Lonchura striata: one gene and its partner. The main gene of each other region encodes a partner of the protein of the gene in region 2 in a complex. Links are inferred from orthologs where the notes say so. Each region holds a gene or a part of one and is shown on either strand. Other genes may lie near its edges. The genes, in order: FLT3LG and FLT3.

The links.
Region 1: the proteins of FLT3 (region 2) and FLT3LG are in contact, whole or in part, in a crystal structure (PDB 7QDP), measured with the Homo sapiens proteins. The link is inferred for Lonchura striata from reciprocal best matches to the Homo sapiens genes FLT3 and FLT3LG. Residues at the interface, in NP_004110.2 of Homo sapiens: Asp180, His279, Gly280, Phe281, Gly282, Met300, Ser301, Thr302, Tyr303, Asn306, Arg307, Met309, Arg311, Ser333; in NP_001191431.1 of Homo sapiens: His34, Ser35, Pro36, Ile37, Ser38, Ser39, Asp40, Lys44, Lys87, Glu99, Asn102, Thr103, Glu104, His106, Phe107.

The regions. Positions count from the first base shown.
Region 1 is NC_134640.1:2,936,225-2,943,504, reverse strand, and holds FLT3LG (fms-related tyrosine kinase 3 ligand), read right to left. Parts: upstream 2,726-7,280; 5' UTR 2,582-2,725; coding exon 2,552-2,581; intron 2,447-2,551; coding exon 2,345-2,446; intron 2,059-2,344; coding exon 2,005-2,058; intron 1,881-2,004; coding exon 1,737-1,880; intron 1,457-1,736; coding exon 1,324-1,456; intron 1,252-1,323; coding exon 800-1,251; 3' UTR 769-799; intron 667-768; 3' UTR 515-666; downstream 1-514. Other genes in the region: ALDH16A1 (aldehyde dehydrogenase family 16 member A1), read right to left, coding at 3,103-3,264, 3,466-3,588, 3,849-4,025, 4,111-4,279, 4,373-4,450, 4,734-4,795, 5,001-5,094, 5,165-5,301 and 4 more. UniProt on the Homo sapiens protein: Stimulates the proliferation of early hematopoietic cells by activating FLT3. Synergizes well with a number of other colony stimulating factors and interleukins. Required for the development of B cells, and dendritic cells (DCs).
Region 2 is NC_134604.1:68,999,935-69,007,664, reverse strand, and holds the start of FLT3 (receptor-type tyrosine-protein kinase FLT3), read right to left. Parts: upstream 3,100-7,730; 5' UTR 3,025-3,099; coding exon 2,970-3,024; intron 1-2,969. UniProt on the Homo sapiens protein: Tyrosine-protein kinase that acts as a cell-surface receptor for the cytokine FLT3LG and regulates differentiation, proliferation and survival of hematopoietic progenitor cells and of dendritic cells.

The DNA of each region.
Region 1 (7,280 bases), on a different chromosome or scaffold from region 2:
CCCGGAGCCCTCACCTCAGCATCCTCACCCTCCTCTGCCTTCCATAGGCGCCCGTGGTGCCCGAGCAGCCAGCCAGACATCCAGGCCATGGCAGCGGTGAGCCAGGTAAGAATGGGGTCAGGGGGGACCCTGCAGGGTCCCCTCAGCCACTGACCCAGAGGCTCTGCCCAGGAGACAGCAGACAAGGAGGAGGAGGAGGACAGAGGGATGGCACTGTCAGGAGGAGGAGGCCTGCTGTGGAGCAGTGAGGAGGTGGCCAAGGCAGTGACCCCACAGGCACCACTGTCACCGTGGACACCACTGTCACCATGGGCTCTGGCGCTGCTGGCACTGCTGGCCCTGCTCTACTTCTTGCCCTGCCAGTGGCCCCAGCTCCAGCTGCACTACCGGAACCCCCCGCCCCTGTGAGACCCCCAGTAAAGGCCAGTTGCGCAATTCTGTGTCCACCCCACTCTCGACCAGTTCCCCCAAACACTCATCCAGTCCACCCAGTCCTCCCAGAGCAGGGTCAGAGTCAGGGTGTCAACATCAGCTTTATGGGCACTGCACGGGGCCAGGCTGGGCCCCCTCATCTCTCCGTCGCTCTGGGAGATCCCGGTGTAGCTCCCGAGGGCTTCCAGCAGGGAACTGGGGGGTCCCCGTCTCTCACCAGTGGCTCAGGCCAGCCTGGGCAGGGGCAGAGGGTGAGGACCTGATGATCCAGGGGCCTCTCCTGGCCCCCCTCAGGATATTCCCAGTGATAACAGTATCCAGGAGCTCTCCCAGTACCTGTGTCTGTCCCCAATTACCACTCGGCCACTCAGGTTGCATCCTGCTCCCATGTCGGGGGTCTCTGTGAGGGCTGGAGGGGGCTGAGGGGAATGACCTCCCAGCGCTCCCCAGTGCTTCCAATGTTGTCAGTCCTCCTCCCAGTGACCCCAAGACAGCCCCCAATGCTCCCAATGTCCCCATGACAGCCAGCATCCACAGTGTCCCCAGTGCACACACCATCCCCAGTGCCCCTCATGCCCTCACCACCCGCTGTGTCCCCAGGAACGCCATCCTCCCGGGTGTCCCCAGTGCCCGTCAGTGCCCCCAGTGTCCCCACCTGGGCACAGGGTCTCCTCCACAGTACCCAGACCACCGCCACCAAGACCAGGACACCCCCAACTCCCCCCAGCAGCACCAGTCCATGTCCAGCAGGGCTGGCGGCTCCCTGCCTGGCCCCCAAGGTCCCCTCGTGCCGCACTGCTGGGCTGGTCAGCGCCGGGCCTGGGGGAAGACAGGGGTCAGCAGCTGCCCCAGGGGGGGTTACGGGGGTCTCTCAGGGGTCCTGAGGGGTACCTGGGTGGCAGCGCAAGCGGGCACAGCCGGGGAAGTGGGGGGGTCTCCCTTGCAGCCCCCCCAGGTGCTGCATGAGCGTCTCCAGTAGCTGCGACACATTCACCATCTCCAGCTGGACACAGCGCTGGGGGTCCTGGGGAGATGTTGTAGGAGCCCCCCCGGGGGACCCAGACCCCTTCTGAACCACCCTGGGAAATCCCAGGAATGCCCCAGAGCTCCTGCACCCCCACAAGGCTCCCAGAGTTACCCTAGACACCTCAGGGAACCCCCTGAGCCCTGTGGGGTCCCCAGAGCCCCTCAGGCCCCCAGACTCATCTTGGCTGCCCCAGGACCACCCCGTAACGGTGCACACCGAGCCTCCCAACTCCCCCTCCTTCCAGGACCCCCGGAGCCCCCCGGGGACCCCCACCCACCTGGATGTGACACTCGGCCACGAAGTGGAGCTGGGCAAGGAGGGTCCTGAGCAGGGGGGCCAAATCCTTCCCCGCCACCCCCAACATTCGCTGCAGAGCCAGTGCCCCAAAGTGAAGCCCCCAGAGATCAGAGCAGGCGCCGTCCTGGGGAGGCCAGGGCAGTTCAGGGTTTGGAGGGACAGGGGTCAGGGGTCAGAGGTGTCCGGGGGTGCAGGAACAGGGAGGGATTTGGGGGAGGACACGTGGGATTTGGGGGATTCTCGCTCACCGGCTCCAGGTTGCTGGGCATCGCCACAGGGTAGTCGAGGAGCAGCCAGGGGGTCTGTGGGAGGGGTCAGGGGGTCCCCAAAAGCAGCCCAGAGGGCTGAGGGGGGCGCTCAGGGCGTCCCCAACGACCCTTTGGGGGTGAAGGGGTGCAGTCAGGGGGTTTTCGGGACCCAGGGTGGGGCCTTCCCTGGGGAATGAGGGAGTTCGGGGGAAGGGGGAGGGAGGCGCAGGGGAATCTTTTGGGTCTCAGGGGGATCTGGGAGGTCCCGTGAGGATCCCGGAGGTCAGGGGGCGTACTAGGGTGCGCGGGAGGATGTCCTGGGGGTGGGGGTCTGTCTCACCAGGTTGTTCAGGTGGGTGCTGAAGGTGCTGCTGATCGGGTTAAAGCCGAAGGAGCAGCAGCTGCTGGGGGTGGGCACGGCCAGGAGGAGCAGGAGCGGCACCTGGGAGTCACCGGGGGGGGCTCTGGACGTCCCAAGGGGCTCTCGCGGGGGTCCCAGAGGGGCGCAGGTCACATTGCGGGGCGGAGGGAGGGGGTCCCCACTTACCAGAGCAGAGCGGAGGGGGGGCAAGTCCATCGCGGTATGGAGCCGGGGACGGCGCACCGGAACCCCCGAGCGCTCCCGGAGCCACCCCCGGGACCCCCGCCGGGACCCCTCGGGCCGCGGCGGAGCCGCCGCCGAAACCGAAAGTGGGACCGAGCCGGGAGGGGGCCCAGGAAACCCGAGAGGGCAGCGGGACGTCCCGAGCCTCCCCCTCCCACGCCGCGGACCCCGGGCCGCCCCTTCCTCACCCCGGGGACTCCCCCTCTATTCCCACGGGAGCTCCGGCGCTCGGGACCCCCCGCCCTGCCCCGCAGAGCTTTGGGTGCGGCTGCCCCGAGCGTGGGAGGGGGGCCGGGGCGTCCGGGCACGTGCGGGGCGGGGCACCCCAAAACATCCCCCCCCCCTCCAGCGCGAGACCAACCCGGTCCCCCCCCTAAACAGAAACGTGACAGCGGCTGCGACTCGGAGCGGTTTATTGGGGTGGGGGTCGCGGGGCTGGGGGCACAGTGTGAGATCTGAAATCCCCGCAGATTTGGGAGGCTCTGGAGGGCATCTCAGGGAGCGCCCCCCGGAAGCCAAAGGCAGTGGGGGCGGGTGCAGCGCAGCTCCAGCTCCCGTTCGGCGCCGGGGGGAGGGTCCTGCCTCGGAGCCCCCACGAGTCCCGCCGGGACCCCCCAAACGCGGGGGACGCTCACGGCAGAGGCCCAGTCGCAGTCCTGGGTGGGCGGACATAAGAGGGGACAGATGGGGAGAGCTGGGGTGATGTCCCCCGCACCCCAAATCCCCACCACAGCAGCCGTCCCACGGCTTGAGACCCCCAGAACGTCACCAGTGTCAACCCTCCTTCCCCGGCGTGCCCTCCACTGTCCCCTTTCCCCGTGTCCCCACACTCTGCCCCCCACTGCCCCTCCACTCACCGCGTCCCCCCCGCACAGCCACAGCCCGTCCGGGTGATGTCGCGCCAGGCCAGATCCGGAGCCCCGGGAATTCCCGGGAAGCACCGTCAGGACACCCCCGGGAAGCCCGGCGGCCACCAGAGCCTGGGGACACAGAGGAAGAGGGGAGTGTCACCGAGCGGGGCGGCTTCCTGCAGCGAAGGAAGGGGACGTGGGGTGTCCTGGAGGGTTTCAGGGGGGCACATGAAGGGACACAGGAGGCACATGGGAGGTCCTGGGGGGAACATATGCGGGCTCCCGGGGGTCGCGGGGGAGGAACGGGGGGCATGGGGGTCACCCGGGGGGGTTCCTGGGGCATCACAGGTGTCACCGGGGGGGCAGCGGGGGGTCCCGCGGTTCCGCACCTTCCGAAGCCGCTCTGCGGAACCGGCGCCGCCAGGGGGCGCCACGACCACCAGGGCGTTGCCGAGCGCGAGCGCCGGGAGGAGGAGCTGCAGCGCCAGTGGGCGTGGCCAGCCCCAGGCCACGCCCAGCACTCCGAGCGGCCGCCTCGCCAGCAGCGCCCGCCCCCCGGGCACGTCCTGCAGCGGGATTGGCCACGCCCAGTCATAGGCCACGCCCCCTCTTGCATCACCCACTCTCCTCCCGCCCCTTGACCACGCCCACCTGCACGGCCCCGCCCCCGCGCTCCAGGCGCGCCGCCCAGCGCAGCAGCGCCCCCTGCAGGCTCCCGTCCGCGCCGCCGCCGTCCGCGGGGGTCCCGGGTGCCGCCGCCAGCGCCGCCGCCGCGCCCCGCAGCACCCGGGCCCGCGACGCTCCCGGCAGCCGCCCCCACCTGCGGGAGCCGAGGGCATTGGGGACCGACGCCTCCTCCCAAGGGGGTCGGGGGACACCCCTGGAGGAGCCGCCCACCCACCCTCGCACTCACCCCGGGGCGGCCCCACGGGCGGCGGCCACGGCATGAGCCAGCTCGGGATCGCCGGGGTCATCCACGGCCACCAGTGGGCTGCGACAGGGACGGGAGACAGGGAATCAAAGGGCATCGCTGTGGGAGGGGCACCGGGGGGTCACCGGGACCCCTTTGAGAGAGACAATCGGGGTCCTGAGAGGTGCACAGGACCCTCCGGGGGGGACAGGATGGGGCTGGGACCACCCCGGGAGGGAAGAAGGGGGTGCTGAGGGTGTTTGACTGGGGTCCCAATGGAACTCGGTCTTGGAGTTCTTGTCCTAGGACCCCCTAATTTGGAGTCTCCATCCTGGAGAGGGGTCCCTGTCCCATCAGGGGGTACCTGAGCAGCTCATCCACCTTGGGGGCCTGTTCCCAGGGGGGGCACCCAAATTCTCGCAGCGCCTGGAGGGAGTCCGGGGGGGGCAGAGCCCATCTGCAACAGTTGCACAGGAACCCCAAAACCCACCCCACTCCCCCCTGAAAAACTCAGAACCCACCCCAGGAGACCTCCACATCCCTCCAGCTTCTCCAGGACACCCCCGACCCCCCTGGACCCCTCCCAAACCACCCAGGACTCCCAGAAGAGCCCCCCCTTGGCAGCCCCCACCTCATCCGGGTCAGTGTCCGCAGCCCCCCCGGCGCAGCCCCCGTTGGGGTCCAGCAGGTCCAGGGCGTTGAGCCACACCAGCCCCTGGGGCAGCCTGGAGAGGGGTCAGTGCTCAGCGCCCAGCGCTCGCTCCTGGGCCCAGGGCTCAGGGGGCTGCTGGTCACCTGTCCGCTGTGTCCAAGGCCATGGTGATGTCCTGGGCCCAGACGGCAGCCGCCGCGGTCTGGGGTAGCGCCGAAGCCAAGGCCACGGCCTCCGTGGGGCTGCGCACGGGCAGCAGCACCAGCAGCGGCCCGGGGGCCTGGCGGGGCAGGGCACGCTCAGGGCAGCCCCAAAAGGCGCCCCTGGACGCCCCCCACCCCAGGGCGCCCCGGGGCACCCACCGGCTCCCGCAGACAGCGTGAGGTCGGGGCCACCCCCGAGATAAGCGTCAGGGGGTAGAAGCGATGCTCCTGCTCCGGCAACGGTGGCAGCGGCACCTGGAAAACCTAGGCAGAAAACAACAGGGGTCCCAACAAGGTGGGGACCCTCAGAGTGCCACCCAGGGTACCCCCACTCTGACCCCGGGGGACCCCAAATGGCCCCACAGCCAGTCCCAACATCCAGGAGCACCCAAACCCACCCCTGGGAACCTCCGGATTTCACCCCAGGAGACAGCAATGTCCAGGAAGTCTCAACCTTGACCCCCAAACACCACGTGCCCCTCCCCACCCTCCCAACCCTTTTGTGCTGCCCCGATGTCCCCACAGCCACCCCACCCGGCCCCCTTTGCGCACCCCCTCACCTGAGCCCCCTCCTGCAGCGCCTCCTGCACCACCCCCTCCGGCGGGCAGGTCCCAGGGGGCAGCGGCCCCACCTCCGTTTTGGGGTCTGTGGGGTCCCCGAGCTGCAGCCCCCCGAGGCGGGCCCGGAGCCGCTGCTCCAGCGCTGCCGCCACCGCGTCCTGTGCCAGCACCACGCACCCCCCAGCCGGGAACTGGGGACACGCAGGAGGCACCGGGGGATCAGGGACCCCCTGAAAAACTGACACACCTCCCCCATGGGAAACCCAGAAACCTCCTAAAAAGCCCCACCAAACATGCCAAAAAAACCCCCCTGAAACCTCCCCAAAAGGCCCCCCCAAAAAAACCCTCAAGAAACTACCAAACCTCCATAAAAACCTCTGAAACCTCCCCAAAAGACCCCCCCAAGAAAACTCCTAAGAAACTGCCGAACATCCACAAAAACCCCTGAAACCTCCCCAAAAAAACTCCTTAGAAACTGCCAAATCTCCACAAAAACCCCTGAAACTTCCCCAAAAGGCCCCCCCAAAAAAACCCCTGAGAAACCTCCACAAAAAACCCTGAAACCTTCCCAAAAAGCCCCCCCAAGAAAACTCCTTAGAAACCACCAAACCTCCACAAAAACCCCTGAACCTCTCCCAGAAAGACCTAAAAACCCCCCAGAACTCCCCGAGCCCCCTGGGACCCCACCAGCGCCGGGGGCGCGGCGGCACTGGCGACGACGGCGGCAGCAGCGCTGTCCAGGTCGGCCGAGTCCAGGACGACGACGACGACACGGCCCCCTCGGGGACCCCCCAGGCGCGGCCCCCGGCACGGGGACCCCCAAACCAGGGCCGGCAGCTCCTCCTGGGGGCACAGACAGTGCGTGGGGACCCCCAAATTGGGGAGGGGGGTGAGAGGAGCCCCAGCTCCCCCCAGCCGTGGGGCTGGGACGTGGCCGTACCTGGGGCACCCCGAGGAAGGTGACGGAGGCGATTTCGGGGTGGGCGCGCAGGGCCTGGCACAGCTCCAGGGGTCCCGCCAGGACGTTGAGGACCCCGGGGGGCAGCGCTGCCCCCTCCCTGCTCAGCTCCCCCAGCAGCAGCAGCGGCGGCGCTGCGGCCGCTGGGCACAGCACCAGAGCCGTGTTCCCTGGAGGCACCCCAAAACTGCTGGGACCTCCACAGGGACACCTCAAACCTGCTGGGACCCCCCAAAACTGCTGGGACCCCCCACAGGGACACCTCAAAACTGCTGGGACCCCCCAAAACTGCTGGGACCCCCATAGGGAATCCCAAAACTGCTGGGACCTCCACAGGGAACCCCAAAACTGCTGGGACTCCCCACAGGGATGTCAGGACATCCTAAAATGGCCAGGACACCCCACAGGGACATTGGGGAGCCTACCACACCCTTTGCCCCCTGGCTCTGCCCCTCGTTCCTTGCACGGCCAGCTGTCCACAGTGTCCCCAAGATCCCCAGCTGTCCCCAAGTGTCCCAAAGGTCCCCAGCTGTCCCC
Region 2 (7,730 bases):
GGGGCTCCTGCAGCAGGACAGGATGCCCACAGCTCTGCTTTGCTGACAAACCTTCCTCTGCTGAGCAGCCACAACAGCAGCATCCACCCAACACTGGGCAGAGATGTGGGGCAGCCCTGGAAGTTGGGCTGCACTCTGGGCATCTTCCAGCTTCTCAGTACATTGAAATATGGATAACCAGAGGAATTTTCTGAAGAAAGGGAAAAGCAAATGGCCCCAAACCTCAAAAGACACAAAACACCCAGAGTTTTAAGTTGCATTTACTTCATCGGAAAACAACTATTTTCCTGCACAGTCCTTTCACCTTCGGGAATCTTCAGAAGTGATACCTTATCTTCTGATCCATGAAATATATGGTGATGGATGACCATGAATATGTGGTCTGCTGGGCACAACAGTTTCCCTGAGTGAACAGACAATGTACTGGCCTTATCCAATACTCAAAACCAGCTTGCACCCAAGTTTTTGCATGTTTTGGGAAAGAGACAAGATCAAACTTGGTTCCCCCTGGGGTGCTCATTGATTTCACCTTCCTGCCAGTGGCAGGGCTCAGTGCCTTAACTTGCTCTGGAATGTTTGTCAGCTGTTTTGTTGGAGAGAAATCCAATTTTCTGTGAGTTTAACAGATCCTGCAGGTGGCTGGGTCCCACACATTTCTGGGTTCTCCTCTAAAAGAAACATGCTGGCCCACCTCATATTTTCCACGATCTCTGTCATAGGAATTTAATGGACACTTATATGTTCTGTGAGGGAATTTTCAACAGTACTACTCTATAATTTTTGTGCAGTCAGACACACCATAATCTAATCTGGACCTTGTTGGAATCTGAGTTTGCAGTCCTTGCTCATATATGTTTCCTCTCATTTGCCAGCCACAGGGAGATCTTAGGCAGCTTCTCATATCTTCATTTCTCTCAGGTGCCCTGAAACTGGGTTTTATGAACATCTCTCAGTAAGAAAGGGGTGCAACTAAAAAAAAGGATGCAGGAGTGGTTGTCAGTGGAAAACTTTCTCTGATGAGAAAGGTCACTGAATGTTTCTTTTTACAAAATTCTTCAATTTGTAAAACACGAAACTACTACTGCATCTGTTCCCAGGCCCCATCCCTGCCCCATCCACTAATGCAAGGCTAATTGTATGCTAGATAACATTCCCTTTAGCCACAAACTCTTGTTTGGGATGACCAGAAGAATGTAAGATGAGAAACTGGAATAGTGTTTTTAATGTATATAGGTGTATTTACATATATAGTATTGTGTATATTGTTTTCTGAAGTTCTTGGGATTAAATTTCTTGCTGCTGGGGAGCATTTATTCACAAATAACACAGGCAAGATGCTTGTTCTTTCTTGAAACTTTTGCAGTTCTGAGCCTGTAATTTTAAGACTGACCTGCTGCCTTAAGTCTAAAGATACTGTGGAGATTTTCCTCCAGGTGTTATTATTCTTTAGCTTTCCTTTGCTGGTTAAGTGCTGCCATTTCTGATGACACTGGTTCATCATATGGATACCATCTGTTGTCTGCACAATTTATTACTCAATATTATCTCAATCAGAAAACAGATTCTCAAAGGGGACACGGGTATTTTTAAGAGATTGTATATAATTTATTGAATGCTTCACATTATTTACATCAAAATTGTTTTTAAGAGTGATCTGTTAGAGACATATATGGAACTAGCAGTTCTCAGGATTTTTGCTGTTAAGTCTGTCTCTGATGCTTCAGATCCTAACTGCTTTGTATGTCCAAAAGCACTTTTTCTCCTATAATAGCCAGCCTTATGAGAAGAAACACTGCCTCCCTGTGCACCTTGCCTTGACTAAATAATATCTCAGCAGAAAGAACAGCAGTCCTCCTAGAGAATAATCATATCTTGGGGCTCTCACACCTTTTTGCCTCTCTGCACAAATGTCTCTTACCCACACTGACAGGTCTTTGGGCACCATTACATTTCAGATGCTAGTAATTTTTATTTGTTTTGTTAGGCAGCCTGCAAAATAGCAAAACTCAGTCAAAGAAGAAAACACAGAAATCCCTCCTTGACAGGGTTTGCTTAGTAGTATCAGCAATCATGCAAAGCACAAGATCATAAAGTATTAATTTTCATTTTTACTCCACCTTCTCTTCAAATAGCTCATGTAGACTTTCAACCATAACTGAATAATATCTAACAATTTCTCTTTGAAGTAAGTATTATTATCTCTGTATATGGAGCTGAAAATGGACCACAGGTTGTTAAAAAACTTTCTCAGGTATGTACTAGAACTATATCAGGAGAAAAACATGCACCCAGTCCTGGATTTTGAATCAGCAAGATCATTTTAGATAGGAACAAGCCATTAATTTTAGAGAAAAACAGTTTCAGGCATTTGAGATGGAAGCAAATGCTATTTCCTTTTTTCTTAACAGCTAATTGCTGGGCTGATTTTCAGTAGAGGATATCAAGCTTTAAATTCCAAAACACTTCACTCTAACAGTAAGCAAAGAGTACTTTCTATATATTAATATCATGTTTTCTTCAATTTAGATCATTAAACAAAAACAACAAAACCTGAAAAGATAATGATACATCATTATATTTCACTCTACTAAGGTATCTGATTCATAGATTATTTATGTGGGAAATTGCAGGTATATTATTTAAAGTGCTCAGGTCAAGCTAGCACTAACAGCAGGAAATACATTTACATCAGAAGAAAGAGAACAAAAAAAAAATCAGTAATTTAAATACTTTTTGCCTTGAGAATAAAATGTGTCAGATGCAGTAAGAGAAAAAGCTGGGCTGGGCTGGGAGAGATTAGGGTGATGGGAGAAAGAAGAGCATCTCCAGAAGAGAGAAGAAAGGTGAGACAGAAAATAAAAGATTCAAGAGAAGAAGAAATCAAAGGAGAAAGGAAAGATGTGAAGGGGTGCAGTGAGAGTGGGGAATGGAGATGAAAGGGCCTGAGGAGTGTGATGAGAAGACCTCACCTGCGAGATGAAATGGAGCTCTAGTGGAGCAGCTGTGGGGCCAACTCGCTGTCATTGCTGGTGGCGCCCTGCAGTGCCCTGGCCCCACAAGTGAAACTGAGCCTGCAGGTGGTTGCCTTAAGGGTGCATGTCACTGCCCAGAGTGAAACCACTTCTTCAAATGAGAGGGCTCGAGACCTGAGCCACAAGGAAACGGCTGTGGGACGTGGAGAAGAGGGGCCTCTCTGGGGGTCGGGGAGCATCTTCCTTCTGTCACAGGATGCCTCCACCAAGCTGAGCAGCTGCCTCCACTTCAGCTGCTCAGTCTCAAGTCCTTTGCTCATGCTTACTAAGACATATTTTCTCCTGTAAATTTGTGCTGTCTCACTTCAACTCTTATTTTTGAAGCAGTTACAATTTCTGCTTTCACACACTGGCAGTTAGCATAATTTCTACAAGTCCTGATGAGGGGAAGAGCAAGTGTTTTGCCAAGCTGAAGAGCTCAAAAAAAAAAATCCAAATTAAGTTCGTGCAACACCATGGGAATACCCCACCACATCTGTCGTGGTGGGCCGACGGAGGTTTCCCATGCTTGGTGAGCCTCTGCTCTGCTGGTGAGAGAGGACCTGCTGCGGTCACCTCCAAGATCCTGGGGGCTGCCACCAAGGCAGGGAGTGGGCCTGTGGCATGGGGCTGTGCTTATACCAGGGGGAACAGGGAACTAGCACTGTTTGCAGGAAGGTTCAAAGCAAGCCACAGCTGTTCTGAAGCTGTTACACAGATTACTTGTCTAGGGGATGAAAACAAAGGCCTCCAGGCTGAAATGCAAACCTGTAGAGGCAGCATCCCTCTGCCCTTAGCCTGTCCCTGCTTGCCACCTTCCTTGGAGCATAGTGCTTCAGGAGCTGCCTCCTCATCGGCTCCAGGTTGTTGGTGTGTAAGAGGTGGAACTGCTCCAGGTGTAGGAGAACTTGCTGGGGCCAGCAAGCCCCACTGATTTGTACCAGAACAGGACATTGCAGAGGGGCAGACAGATCTCCCTGCCTTGCACAGCTGTGCATCACAGTCACCAAGCACAAATCAGTCCCAGTTCTAAGGATTAAGCTTGAGCTTCCCCTCTATGATTCCCCAGGACAGACTGGGGGATTTTTATTATTTGCTTGGCTGTTGTATTTTATATATAAAATGGTATTTTTTATTCATTCAGTTGTTATTTTTACTTGCCAAGGGCTGAGCAATGATTCTGCAATTGTTCAGAACCTGGATAAAAAGAATCCCTAAACAAATAAACTCAGTATTGGTAAAGTGTTCTCAGAAACATCTCAGAGACTATATTTAGATTTTTTTATTGATATCTGCCTTCTGCATTAGGGAAATAAAAAAAAAAAAAGTAGATTAATCAGAACTAGACAGACATACCATAGCTAAAAGAAGACACATAAAACATCCTGAAGGCAACTGCAGAGGCAATGGGGCACAGAGGCCAGCATTGTTCATGATATGACTGTATGATCTCTCACAAGACTGCCTTAGACACACTGAATGAGTCAGTACCATTGTACTGTGGTGCTCAACACAAGTTTGTGTGTTTTGCAGTGCAGAGGAAGGAGCTGAAATTATATGAAAATTAGGGAGGTACATATTTGCAAGGATGCAAAAATGAGAAAAAGAAGCATAGGATTCCATAGGCTTTAAAGAAATTGATGCAAACAGGAAAATACCATGCTGACAACAAGCTTTCTTGGCTGGTAGGTTGCCCCTTTTTTTTCCACTGCCCACACTGGTACACAGACCCTAAGCATGAATGAGGTATCAAGGCACCTCTGAAGATTGCCTAGTCCAGTGCTATACTCAAAACATGATCAGCTAGCACAGGCTGCCCCGGGGCACATCCAGTACAGTTTTAAATACCAACAGAGATGGAGAGTCCACAACTTTTCCTGGCAATCTATTCAGCACTTAAACAACCTCACAGTATAAAAATGTTTCTTGATATTCAGAGTGAACTTCCTCTTTTACAGTTTGTGCACATTGCAGGTGGTTCTGTCACTGAAATGAGTTGGGCTCCCCCATCAGATATTTATACACATTGATAAGGCTCCCCCCAAGCCTTCTCTTCTACAGGCTAAACAGCCCCAGCCATTTCACTCCCTTACCAGATACCCCAATCCTTTACCATCTTTAGGGAAAAAAAAAAAAACCTAAGGAACTACAGAGCAGTGTAGTCAGTTTTGCTGTCTGTCAAGATCTTGGAGCAAATTCCCCTAGAAACTATAAGAAGGCACATAGAAAATAAGGTGGTGACTGGTGACAGTCAGCATGACTTCACTAAGGGCAAATGGCACCTGGCAAATCTGGTGGCTTTCTATGATGGGGTTACAGCTTTGGTGAGAGGGAAGAATGCCTGACATAATTTACCTGGACTTACGCAAAGAATTGTCCACTGTCCTTCATGAAACTTTGTGTCTAAACTGGACAGATACGAATTTGACAGAGGCGCCAATTGGTGGACAAGGAATTGGATGGATGGTTAATTCAAGGAATTGTGGTCAATGGCTTCATGTCCAAGTGGAGAGCAGTGACAAGTGGTGTTCCTTAGGGATTGGTTTGGGAGACCAAATCAGTTCAACATCTTTACAAATTATGCGTTTTGTACTTTCCTGTACCCCTTTCAACCCTACACATATATAGAGGTTTTGCCCTCAGAAAACAGGGGTAGACAGTTTGTACTTCTGTTCTGAAAATAACAGACATCTATCCCAGCCACTGAGCGCTCACTGTTGGTAGGGTAGCCTGACAAAGACCTGTCTAAACACTTACATATGTACTAGGCAAGTGGATTCTTGTCCTCTGATTTAAAATTGGCAAGTGCTTTGTTTTTTCTTCCATCTGATGCACTCAGCACTGGTAGCTGCTAGGATTCCATTGAAGATATTTTGCTTTTTTGTGATTCTGACAAGGAGAAACTACTGTTTAATAATGAAAATCGGTTGCTGGTGATTCAGCTGATCTGGTATCAGAAGCCTTAACATATATGTCAGGTTTTCAGTGTAAAAGCTTCTGTGAAAGATCCAGCTAGGAGAGTTCACATCTACTGGACTAAGCCAAAGTATATTTATAAGTTCTGCCATATTAACTTATTCCTAAAGATGCTGGACTGGGGTCCAAAAGGGTTCAATTAATGTATCATACACATGTATACAATAGCAAAGCATTCTATGAGTAAGCAGGGCTTTTTTCCACCATGAGAAAATGGTTTCTGTTATCAAGTGTTTTATCCAGCTTATCCATCCTGGTTGGCCTTCACTGCAACAAGCAGATAAAGCCTAAGCCAGTGGGAGCAGCACCATGGTAAGAAATTCTCTAGCTGAACCATACGATTGGATTACCAGCACAGTGAAACTAGACTTGTATTTTAGTGCTCGTACTAATTTTAATTCTAGCTTAGGGCTAAGACCTCCCCCCATACATTATTAATATAAGGTTTAGCATACATTATTAATGTAGGTGTTAGGAAGAGCACTTCAGGGTCAACTCCTGATTTGTGACTTGATTTGAATTCAAAACTTCACTGAGTTGAAATGAATTTCTTTTTGCACATGAACAGGAGTCTGGTTAGGAGCAACACCTGGTTTCTTCGATACTCTTAGTAAAGACAACTGCCCAGTTAGGGACCCATGGGTATTGCCACAGCAGGTCACTGCATGCAGTCCAATATCCTGACTGCCATGTTAGTAATCCTCAAATATTTCAAAGGCAGATAATTTTGTGGAATAACCTCCTCAAGAGTGGCAATCTCCCTCTGACTTCAGACAGTAGCTGGTATATAGCCTGAAGTATTAGGCTTTATTTGAAAAAAAAAAAAAATAATTATTAGCAATTATGAAAAATTCATAAATGCTAAATTCTTTCTAATATTACTGTAGACCCTGATCACATCCGTTTTTTTCCTTAATTATATACTATAATGATAGACTTTAAAAGGTAAATTTGGATTATGTGCAAACTTTGTTTAGAAGTATTTCCTTTGATCTGTTTCAGCAATACTAAGGCCAGTTTTGTAAGTAGAGATAGTATCTTCTAATAGACCCAGCTGGTACTGTTGGAAAAAACCCAGCGTTCACACATTACCTTTTCCAACTATTTGGTTAAACAAGATTCCTACCTACAAAACTTGTCTCACCTAGACCTTAAAAAAAAAGTCAGCTACAGTAACTCTTTCCCTTAAAAAGTATTGCTATTCATTTGCATTATCTGATGCCAGCCTGCACTTAAGGATCTGTTTCCACATGATTTAATAAATAAGTTAATTCTGGGTTGATACAAAGAGACGGTGTCACACTCAATAGCAAACATGGCTTTCTCAAGAATGGTTCAAATGTTAGGGGGGAGTTGCTTGGCACTTGCAAGCTGATTTGGCTGGAAAAAAAGAGCTCTTGGCAGATGTTTCCTTCCCAAGGTTTCCCTCCCCCACCTCGATTTTTCATCTCATAATGTTTGGTTCTGCCTTTCTGGCACAGCTCATAAGAGTGACACTCTGTCACTTGGCCATGGCTGCAGGCATGCATACAAGTGGTATTTCCTCCTTTCTGGGTCAAAAAGCACACCACAGTTATCACTTAACTACAAAGTGGGACAAGACCCAGGGGTATCAATCTCTTTTGCCTTCCTCTTGCTTCCTGAATTTCATGCAAAGTACAGCAACACTCTCCACACAGGTGCCAGTTGTGGTGATCAGGCGACCTAGTTTTGTGAAAGAGGTAACATCATCAATCACTCCTT